Canis lupus familiaris: one gene and its partners. The protein of the gene in region 2 purifies or fractionates together with the protein of the main gene of each other region. This does not show direct contact. Links are inferred from orthologs where the notes say so. Each region holds a gene or a part of one and is shown on either strand. Other genes may lie near its edges.

Region 1 (4,348 bases), on a different chromosome or scaffold from region 2:
CCAAAGCAACTCAATGAAAAGAAAGGTAAATTTTGATAAAAAGTTCAACAGATTTTTTTTTCTCAAAAGCTAAGCTGAAAATAATTCATTAATTGAAGAAAAATGAACTTCACAGCTTCCTGTTACATGGCAATTTTATTTTTAACCAAGCTTATAGAATTCATACTATAAAATACTACTGAATATCAGGAAATATTAAAATATGCTTACTAATAGGGAAAAACTTCCAAGAGTTTGTTTTTATGAAAAGCTCATTTTAGGGCATCTTTCCTTATAAGTTAATTTATAAAACTAAAACTCCACATATTTTTGCATCACAAGGAAAAAGGACTAGATTAATACAACTAGAGTATCAATGAACTTGATCGGTAAAGAAACTCAAGGAGCACGTAGAGAAGCTTTCCTTAAGTTTTCTCAGGCTAGGAGGACTAAGTGAAAAAACCAAAAGAGCGCACTGCAAGAACAGATCTTGGTTTTATTTGCCTCTGCCTTTCCATTAGCATTTAGGCTTGGACAGACAATTCGGTTAACTTCCCAAGTTTTAGCGTCTTCCTCCGTGTCAAGTGCACTTAGATTCTTGACTTTTAAAACACCAAAATTCTACAATATCTACAAAGTTGGGAAGGACAAAAACAGCTCTGGTTTTACTTTTCAAGACAAAATAACGGCAGAAAAAAAAAAAAAAAACCCGAAATTATTTGTACTTGCAATGTAGTATTTCCAGAACTGAATCACTAAATTTTTGAAGCATATCCAGCTAGGATTGCATCAGTGAAGCTCTAGATGCAGTATTCACAATGTAACTCCCTCCTCTCCCATTATTCCTCCACCTGCTCCTCCCCATCCTGCTTATTCTTTCTTCCGCTTGTTTTAGTGCCAGCAAACGGTTTTAAGCATTGAAAGCTTAAGATGAAATCATTTTAAAAGATGCATTTCGAATCAACGATCATCTGCACCACCACATTTCTCCCAAATAGGGTGGGATTTCACTAAGAGAATGAAAGTATGAATAAACAAAATCAGGAATAGAAATGTACCAGGCCTGGTTTTTTTTGTTGTTGTTGTTTTGACTGCTTAAAAAAAAAAAAAAAAAAAAAAAAAAAGAACCGGAAAGATGTAGCCCAATCTATTCCCTCAGGAACGTGTAAGCGTTACCCACCCAATGAAAAAACAATTCTGCTGGTTCATTTCCCTGCTACAGAACAGCCTCGTCGTCGGGCCCTTCCTAAGGACGATCTTCGTCGCTATCCAGTAATTTCATACGGCTCGCCTTGGCAGTGCTTGGACAGGCGCTGTACCTGTCTTCCAGGGCCTTCCATCCTTCAAGCAAACACCTAAAGCTCTACTAAAACACCACCCTCCCTCCCTCCCAGCCCCCCGTCCCCCCCGCCCCCAGCCCCGGCGGTTCTCTTAACTTAGGACACAAATCCCACGTCTTCCCGCCTAGTGTCAGGCACGAAACCAAGGGAAGCATACCCAAACCCCACATTTGAATCTTCGGACAATGAAGCCGACAGGAAGCCGCTCTCTCCTCCCCTGGGTTTACTACGGAGCCGGAGCCTGCGCGGGTGCAGTCGCCTGGCACAGTGCGTGACACCACGTCTTCCACGCCCTCCAACCGCGTCCAGAGGGCGCCCGGCCTGACCTCCCCCAAGCCACCCCACATCCGCAAACCAACCTCACAAAAAGGCCCGGCACGGTTAGCTGCTCCGACCCGGGTGGGAAAAAAAAAAAAAAAAAAAAAATCCGTTCCCCAGCGCCAGCGCAGCCATTCCGTCCAATGCTCCGCCCGCACCCCCTCGCGAGCTGCTACAGCGCAGGGGGGAGGGCTGCACAAAGCCGAGAGAGGGCTGAAAAGGATTCAAGAAGTCCTCGGGAAGGGGCAGCGAGGAGGGGGCGGGGGAGGGGCGCGGGCCGAGTGGGGGAGGGGAGGGGAGCGGAGGCCCCGACGAGCCCCGGCTGGGGGGCGGGGGGGGGGGGGCCGCGCGGAGCCGCCGGGAAGCGCCCCCTCCGCCGCCCGGCCCGGCACTCCCGGCCAAGGCAGGCCGCGCCCTGAGCCCCCGCTGCAAACCCCGGAGGATGTGGGGAAGCGGCGGCGGCGGCGGCGGCGAACCCGACCGAGCAGCTGAGCGCATCACTTACCCCTCACCGCTGAGAGAGGGACCGGACGGGGGAGGCGGGGCGCGTCGCGTCCCGTGAGTCTCTCGCACGCCGTCCTGCCCCCACCCCGTCGTCGTCGTCGCCGCTGTCGTCGTCGCCGCCGCCGCCGCGGTCGAGCTCCCGGCCCTGTGCTCCGCTGGGCAATAACGTTATTCCACACACGCCCCGCACATAGCGGTAACGGCAAAGAGCGGCCGCCCAGTGCGCAGGCGCCTGAGGAATGGGCGAGGAGCCGGGCCCTATCCCCTCCGCCGGCCCAGTCCCAACGATCTCCAACTGCGCAGGCGCCAGACGCAGACAATGAAAAGGGGCTGTGCGGAGGGTCTCACCCAAAGGCTTCTCCAGCTGCCTATTGCGCAGGCGTGCTCCAAAGACCCGCTTGAACAATAAAGAGGGCTCTGGCGCTAGTCGGGACCGCAACTAAAGCGGACTACGCTTCCCAGAGGGCAGCGCGCCAAATGCAAGCGGACGTTGGGTTGCTGGGCATGCTAGGATTTGTAGTGTAGGACGCCTTCACAGTTAGGCTGTTCGGTAGATTTCAACCTTCTTGAGGATGTATTTGGCCGTTTTGGCAAATGTCGCGGCTGGCAGGTGGAGAGCTTGTTATTTGTGTTCTTGAGAAGACCCAAGGACCAACCGAAAACTAGCAAACTTGGAAAAGAGTCAAGGCCTCCGTCAGTTGGGTGGTCCAAACCGCAGGGCGGGATAAAGGCAGGACTCAGCCAGCCTGGGCTAGAGAAAGAGGGCGGAGCCTCCGAGCAGTCTCTTGGCAACCGGATCTGGCCGCCAAACCGCCAAAGCTTTTAGCGCGATGTCCTCCGGGAATTGTAGTACAGTCGGAGGGGTAGTTTAGGAGCCTCCTGACTGCAGGCCAGCAGTCTGCGAACTACAATTCCCGACGTCCACCAAGAGGGCCACTGGGTGGGAAGCGCCCCCTGCGAGCTCGGTCCGGGGTTCCCTGCTCCCCCAGTGACAGCAGCGGCCGGAAGCAGGCGGGTGCTGCTCCGGCGCCAAGGCCTCTTGCTCCCCGAGGGGCGACACTGGACACTTCCCTACGTAACTCCCATCCCTGGGCCCCGAGTCTGTGCATGGCGAAGTCCCCGGAGAACTCTACCCTGGAGGAGATTCTGGGGAAGTATCAACGGAGTCTCCGGGGTGAGTTGCGCCGAACCTCTGCGTGGGCGGGGGCTGCCCAGGTGCGTTTCCTCACACCCCGCTTCAGCCCCCGCCAGGACACAGAGGAAGAAGATGGATGGTGCTGTGAACCTTGAGGAAAGATGAAGTAGTTTGTGTTTGTCTTTACGGTTAAGCAGTGTTGTTTCCCTTGATTCCCATAGTGACCTACCTGAACCGCCTCCCCGAGCGAGCTCGACTGAAGCATCTTTGTCACCCGAGGCCCGCAGAAACTCGTGGGTGGCTCTCCCCCACTCCTGCCCACTTCCTGGCCAGTAAACTCCTGACTCACGCTTTTTACACATTCGGATTGTGGTGTAGTGGGCTGAATGTGACCTAGCGGACCAGGAGAAAGAAAATACTAATTATTTTAATCACAGCAGCTTCAACTTAGCGGTCTGAGCTATTTACATACATCAAGATAAGCTAAAACTTACAGCAACGTTATGAATATCCCTCTTTGACACGTGGGGAAATCAAGGTGCAAAGATGTTAAGTTAGGCCAGAGTCCGCACAGCTGGTTGGTGGCACAGCCGGGTATTCAGGGCTGACAGCCTTAAAAGCCTATTTTTTTTTTTCTTTTTAAAAAATTAAAAAAAAAAATTTTTTTCTTTATTAATCATGTCGCAATTATTATTACCGAAACCTTATTTAGTTAATTCACATTTTCTTAATATGGCTCCTTATGAGTGAGACTTTATAGAAGTGATGGTCGTACTTATAGATCTGTCATCTTGGACATCATATATGCCATCTGGAAACCTCAGTCTTGTTATTTTTAAATAGGAAGTTATGTCAGCTACAGGGTTATTATGAGGAGCAAATGAAATAATCCATGTAAAGCTTTCCAACCTTTTTTTTTTTTTTTTTTTTTTTGCTGTTACCCATTGGTAAGAAATACATTTTATATGGGACGTATACATGTAAAAATTTCACTGAAGAATATTGTACTAAATAAAATACACTCTATTCTTTTGCATTTTCTTAGCCCTCTAGATCATTGACCAACCATTTT
Region 2 (4,122 bases):
CTAACATTTGTTCTCGAGATTCCTTTGAAAGACACAGAATGGTGAGGAAGACAGACAAAAATCCCTGCCCTAGTGGAGATGGGATGGAGGACATAAAAAATATACAGAACAAATATGTAAAATAGATGTCAGATGATGATAGGAGCAAGAGAGAAAAATAAAGCAGGGAAGAAGATTGGGAGTATAGGGGAAGGAGAGGCCTCACTGAGAAGGCGGCCTCTGAGTACATTTCTAAGTATTTTATATGGATTAAAGATTTGAAATCCCACAACCCAAGGAAGAAGGCACAACTGTCATCACTCCACAGGTGTGGGGATTTTGAGGCGAGGTCATTGAGCCTCAAAATCCCCACACCTGTGGAATGGCAAGGTTGGGATACAAACCCAGCTAGTCTCTGGCTCCAAAGCCAGTACCCTTGGGCCCTGAAGGAGAGACACAGCAGTGAGCAAGAGTGGACACCATCTGTTCCCTCAGCAAATTCATAGTCTAGAGGTTCAACAAGTAAAGAAACAAATGAATAGTCACACTTAAAATTTTAAATTCTCTAAGCAAAGTAATTTAAATGAACAAGTCACTATCATGGTTGATTGAAACTGTTTAGAATATGAACTATTAGAATTGTATTTTCATATTTTGAATATACTAGTTTCAAATTATTATTATTTTTTTTAAATTTAAAGATTGTATTTATTCATGAGAGACACACACACACACAGAGAGAGAGAGAGAGAGAGAGAGGCAGAGACACAGGCAGAGGGAGAAACAGGCTCCACACAGGGAGCCCGATATGGGACCCGACCCCAGGACCCCAGGATCACGCCCTGGGCCGAAGGCAGGCGCCAAACTGCTGAGCCACCCAGGGATCCCCTAGTTTCAAATTATTATAAAGCAAAACATTCTCAAGCAAGTCCTTGGCTTTAGAAATGAGAGGCAAACATAGGATAATAATAACTAGCTCTTCTTGAGCATTTACCAGGAGCCAGGCACTGTTTAAATACCTGTACTGACTTATGCTCACAATAACCCTGCGGTCATTATCATCATCATCATCATCTCCATCTTACAGATGAGGCTATAAAGGGGCCCAGAGAGGTAACCCACCCAGGAAGGAGCAGCAGCAGGACTCTATTCCAAACAATCAAACAATGGCACTCACATTGTTTTTCTATCTGTCAACCAGCATTACTGGGCATTAATATAATATAATGGTCATTTTTAGAGTACATCTTTTGTAAGCCAGATGGACTCTGTGCCACCAAACAAGAATAAATAAATGACACCAATTATCCAAGTTACACAATCAAAGCAGTAGTAGCTACCACTAATAAGAGTACTTGCAATGTGCCAGGTATTGTTCTAATGCTTAAGATACGTGAGTTCACTTAATCCTCACAAATACCCTGCAAGGGAATATTTATATTATTATCATCATTTGACAGATGAGGAAACTGAGGCACAGAAAAGTTCATAACAAGAACAGAATTAAGGTTTAAGCCCAGGCAGTCTGGGTCCAGAGGCCGCTTAACCACGTTGCTGTCTCTCTGAAATCCCCATTGCTATTCCTTTATGTTACACACAGTTTAGAGTACTTTCAGGAACATACAAGAGAAATGCTATGAAGTACAGCATGCTAGGTAAGAGATTAAAGTAGGTGTCTATCTTAGGTGGGGGGGTTCAAAAAGGCGGCTCAGGCTAGGGATATTCAGGCTGAGATTTGAGGAATGAGGACCCAGCCAGGTGGACTGCAGCAAAAAAGCCCAAAAGACTCAGCAAACACTTGGGAGGAGGTAAAGAGCTTGGGGAGCCTCGGGAAAACAGCTGGCTAATGTGACCTAACACTGATAAAAAGAGAGGACAACGGAGGTACAGCCAGAGAGGTGGGGAGGGGCCACTTGCCTAGCTAGGCCTTGCAGCCAGGAATGGGTGATATAATCAGAGTGCAGCAGGACGCCAGGTGGCAGAAACAAGATCCACCAGGATCTACCGTGTTTCCACCCTCTATCTGGCCTCTGCCAAGAGCAGGTCATGGTCACGATTTCATCTCTGCTCCCTGCAACTCCGTGGCATGATTACTGTCAACTTCTCTTTTATAAAAATAGACTTTGTAGCTCGGAGAGCTGGAGAACCATTTTCTTAAATCGCTGGTGTGCTAAGAGAATTCCTTGTACCTACTCTAAAATCGTCTTTGATTTTCTATCTAAGGACGTCGGGGACTATTCTGTATGTCAACCCCCACTTCGGAAGCGCTGCTGAGGTTTTACATTTACTCACACAGTGTCCGTAACCTGGGGTGGCAACATGCGCCAAGAATTCCACGTCGGTAAGGGTGGAAGGAAGGAAAGGGCGGGCAGGTGGGGCGAGAAGGTGGAATGAGCTGAGGGACAGACGAGGTGGGTAGCGCTCGGGACTGCACACTGACTGGTGGGGACCCTAAAGATCCAGCGTAGGGCGGGGTCAACAAAAATGAAGGGCCAGAGAGACATCTAACGGTGACTGAAGGGAGAGGCAGGAAGGAGGGCGAGGGTGATCAGAACTAAAATACCCTCCGAGGGAAGGGAGAGCTGGGACGGGTCTGAAGGGCAGTGCCTGAGGGAGAGGAGACGGGAGGGTGGGAGGGGCCTGCGAGACGCCGCGGGCCAGACCGGAGTCCGAGGGGCCGAGCCGAGGGCTGAGGCGGGGCCGGCGATCCGGGGGCGGGGCCGGGGGCGGCCGCCGAACCCCGGGACTGGGGTGGGCAGGGCAAACAGCTCCTCACCCGGTTCTGCACCGTGTCCTCCGGCGCCGTCGAGAGTCGTGTCCGCCGCCGGAGACAGAGCGGCGGGGCGGGGGGCGGAGAGCACTGGCCCCTCCGCGCCGGAACCCCCGCCGCGCCGGACGGCAGCTTCTCCACTGCATCGTTGCGCGCGTAGCCTCCGGGCCCCAAGGCCGCCATCGACGCGCCGGAGCCGGGCAACCGTTAGGCTCCTCAACCGCTGCCGCCGCCGCCGCCGCCGCCGCCGCCTCCACGACCCACTGGAAGAGCAAACGGCCGCGGGAAAGCCGGCGCCGCCGCCCATTGGACGCGGCAGGCCCGGGTCTGGCCAATGTCAGGGCTGCCGGGAGGCGGTTTTGACCAATGAGGGCCGAGAGGCGGAGCGAAGCCTACGGCCGGGTGGAACCGGAGCTCCTCTACTTGATGCCTGATCAAGGAAGTGGCGTTTTTAACGCGGTCTGTTTTCACCATTAACAAGCATTTAGGTGTTAACTTTTTACGTAGCGAAGATCAAAGCCTCCAGTTCGCTTTTTGCCGCACTCCCCACCCCCAGCAACTACCCACGCAGTGGCTGGCAGTCGCCCGGATGTAAGATGGGGTGGAGTCCAAAGAGACCGACCACTCGGCGCATGCTCAGAAAAGCCGCGACCCCCCCCTCTCTCCCCCAACACGTGGTAAGGTCCGGATGCCTAAGAACTGGCTTTGCGCCGACGTCCTCGCGCTTCCCCGCTCGCCACGTGACCAGGGCGTAACTGTGGTAACGCGGCTGGGCGCGTAGTGCGCAGGCGCTCTCTTCCCTCCCCTGCACGTGATGAGGCATCAAGGGCCATCACGTGAGGTAGGCGGAGAGCGGGCAGGGTGGGGTTCGGCGGCGCCCGGCGAGGATCAAAGTGCGGCTGCAGACTGGGCAGGACTCAACGGGGTGGAACAGCCATGCCCAAGTACTGCCGGGCTCCGAACTGCTCCAACACTGCGGGCCGACTGGGCGCTGACAACCGCCCCGTGAGCTTCTACAAGTGAGCGCAAGCGCGGGGCGGGGCTCGGGGGGCGGGGCTGGGGGCGGAGCCCGAGGGTAACTGCAGCTGTGCCCGCGCGCCTGGTCCAGCTTGCAGGTGTCTGGAAGCAGGGCTAGCAAAGTGAAGAGACGGTGTTCTCAGCCCTAAACACAGCACGCGCAGAGGTGCAGACGTGTTAAAACGCAGGGGTGGAAGATAAACTACAGATAGTGAAAGCAGCGAGCATGAGAAGTGGGACTGTGTAGGGGAAGGACCCTAAAACTGCCCACTTGTTATCTCCACGAATTTATCTCAAATGCAAAACATCCAAAATTGAGCTCCTGATCTTGTCTCTCTCCCAAACTTTCCACAGCC
Region 3 (2,815 bases), on a different chromosome or scaffold from region 2:
AACCCCACACCAATGTTTAAGATGTTTTAAAGGTTCAAAAGGTTTATAAAATAAAAAGAACCAGTACATCTTTAGCTTAATAGATTTATGTAATGAGGGAAAGTTGTATTTAGATATTGTATTTTAAAAACCTAGGGCACCTAACATTTAACAGACTGTTTTCAGGATAGAATTTGTTAAGAATTTTAGTCTGCATTGACTAATAAGAATTCCTTTTCTCTGGATCAACTGAAACATGCTGGCTGGCAAGGGGGAGCTGGCATTTACAACAAGTGATACAGTAAGAACACCTGGTTTTCCTTGCTTAATCTGTATCAATAGAGATGGCTTACTGGCAATCAAACATAAAATATGAGAAACCTCTGAAAGCATGTCAGTTGTTAAAGTGCAACAGTGAAATAATCTATCCTAGGGAAAATAAAGCTGATTAACTGCCGAACTAATATAAACTAAGAACACACTCATGCTCAAATTTCCACTAAAATTGCAAATCCAATTGTTTCTATAACTCGAGGTGTAACATTCTCAAAACTCTAATTTGCTTATTAATAAAATTAACACACCATGTTGTATGAGTAGAAGAGGGATTGATAAAAAGGTTGATAACTTCAAGAGGCTAGAACTCACAACTGGAAACCATCAAAAACAAACTTGCTATTTCAAAGCATACAAAAAGGCTAATGTATTTTAATCCTAAATATTGCACATTAACAATAACCTAAAATACCTAACTCAAAAGGCATTTTGCACTAAATATATGAAGAACATGCCAAGCGAACTCTCAGACACTGCATATTGAGATGTACCAGTTCTTGCTCCTGTTGGTCATTAATTCCCATGGACTTTCTGCCTAGAATCTTGTCACTTACTTACATATGCATTTCCCACTTCATTACATGAAATCCTTCTTGTTCCAAAAATAACAAAAAATGTCTGGGGGCAATACAGAGAATGTATTTCAGAGATAGAGACCTCAATGGCATTTACTTAAGAAAAATTTGTTGTGGAGAAAGAATTCTGCAGGTATAAAATGTAAACAGTTAACATACACTTGATAGGAGCAGCACCATTCTTACACTACTCAACATCCACATTGCATGTTTTATTGAAAATTAGGTATAAAAAAACAAAGACTCAGACTAAATAACCACTACTTATGCCTGCTCTGCTCAATGTGAAGAAACAGTCCTTAGAAAATGATATCCTATATATGGCTGTGTGCTACTATTTTCAGATGAACGGTATATTGCTCATTTGATACATCACCTACAGAAATTGAAGTAGGCTTTGGAACCTCCCAACAGCTAGTATAAATATGATTATGCTACAGTTAGAATCAAATGGCCAGAAACACCTTGAGAACTGGTGCTCCCCTGACTGACACTGTGATAGGAAACCAGAAAGGTCCAAGGGCCTGAGGCTGCAGGAAAGGGAAAGACCAGACTCTAGACCACTGCTGGGACCTACAGCCTGAGTAGATTAACTCTGTGTACAAAAACAGGCTCATAGCTAGTAGAAGTGAACCATCTGTTTATTTGCATTGAAATGTATTATTCATGAAGTATCCTCTTGACTTTATGTAATCATAAGCTTTGAGCATGCCACAAATTTGTAAAAATACCATATTCTTTTTACTTTACTTTTGTTGTGTGGGGTTGGGGAATAGGAGGGTGGGGGTAGACGCCCATCATCTTCAAAGACATGCTCTAAGTTATTCTGCCATTTAGATGATGGGACTTTCGCCAAAGAACAATTGTAGGATGCCTACCAACTGTTATAATTAAATTAGGATTGGCAAGTAGCAAATATTGGAGGTTTTTTAACACGTTCATCATTTACAGTAGTTATTCCTGAATACAACTGGCTACAGGTTATTTTCCCTCACTCCTCTGGGGTTATTTCATTGATAAGCACATAACCCTGAAGGATAGCATCATGAACAAAACATTTAAAATAAAATTCTAATTAAAAAAACTATAAAATCTTAAATAATTCATGATATAGGCAAGTCACCACATAATAGTTGCTTAAACAAAATCTTAGAAATTCAGTAAAAAAAAAAAAAATCAGCAGCATAAGATAAAGCAAATATGCAAAAATTTTAAACCATGATAAAATAATTAGGTTTACATTATACAGTTAATTACAGCAAAAATACAATACAGTTTTGTTGCTGTTTTAAAACACAACTTAAGTTTTAAATTACATCACTTGAAATTAAAAAAAATAAACTACTTTACTACAAAATGAATTCTACATTTTTGAAAAATCACTCAAAAATAAGACCACTGAATTGTTTTCAAAGTAGTTCTATCAATGACTAAATGACTCCCCATCCCCCCACCCCCCAAAGGCCCAAGTAGTCATCTACAGCAGCCCAGAGGTCCAGCTGATGCTTCTAAACTGCTGTCTGTATCTGAGGCCAAAGTTGGATCTGTTGACATTGAAGACACATCATTGACAGATGATGACGACGATGGATGCTGAGAGCCATTGATCACTGCTGCACCTGTGCTATGAGAAACAAAACAGCAAATCAGTTGCAGACAGAGTTGCATGCCGAGCTGCCTATACTGTATTGGCTACCTCTAGTGATCAATAATTTTTTTCTCTTGGCTTTGAAAAGGCTCATTAGATTGTGTATGAATAATACTGATAAAACATGCAAAACTGTCTGTACTGCATTTTGTTGGAGAGAGGATCTCAAAGGGATATATGGCCCAAAAGGTTAAAAGACTACTGCCCTAATAAAAATTACTTATCTTTTCACTGTAAACTCCAAACAATATCCTGGCACATCTTTTTTAAAAAAGAT

The links.
Region 1: the proteins of WDR62 (region 2) and CEP170 purify together in Homo sapiens (affinity purification with mass spectrometry; 3 studies listed by BioGRID and IntAct, with this or other methods). This does not show direct contact. The link is inferred for Canis lupus familiaris from reciprocal best matches to the Homo sapiens genes WDR62 and CEP170.
Region 3: the proteins of WDR62 (region 2) and MAPK8 purify together in Homo sapiens (affinity purification with mass spectrometry; 5 studies listed by BioGRID and IntAct, counting the BioPlex papers as one, with this or other methods). This does not show direct contact. The link is inferred for Canis lupus familiaris from reciprocal best matches to the Homo sapiens genes WDR62 and MAPK8.

The regions. Positions count from the first base shown.
Region 1 is NC_049228.1:34,338,645-34,342,992, forward strand, and holds the start of CEP170 (centrosomal protein of 170 kDa), read right to left. Parts: upstream 2,896-4,348; 5' UTR 2,143-2,895; intron 1,602-2,142; exon of another isoform or gene 1,477-1,601; intron 1,308-1,476; exon of another isoform or gene 1,160-1,307; intron 1-1,159. Other genes in the region: SDCCAG8 (serologically defined colon cancer antigen 8), read left to right, coding at 3,249-3,315.
Region 2 is NC_049222.1:117,484,546-117,488,667, forward strand, and holds the start of WDR62 (WD repeat-containing protein 62), read right to left. Parts: upstream 2,948-4,122; 5' UTR 2,933-2,947; coding exon 2,756-2,932; intron 1-2,755. Other genes in the region: THAP8 (THAP domain-containing protein 8), read left to right, coding at 3,686-3,768. UniProt on the Homo sapiens protein: Required for cerebral cortical development. Plays a role in neuronal proliferation and migration.
Region 3 is NC_049249.1:547,765-550,579, reverse strand, and holds part of MAPK8 (mitogen-activated protein kinase 8), read right to left. Parts: intron 2,515-2,815; coding exon of another isoform or gene 2,510-2,514; coding exon 2,364-2,509; 3' UTR 1-2,363. UniProt on the Homo sapiens protein: Serine/threonine-protein kinase involved in various processes such as cell proliferation, differentiation, migration, transformation and programmed cell death.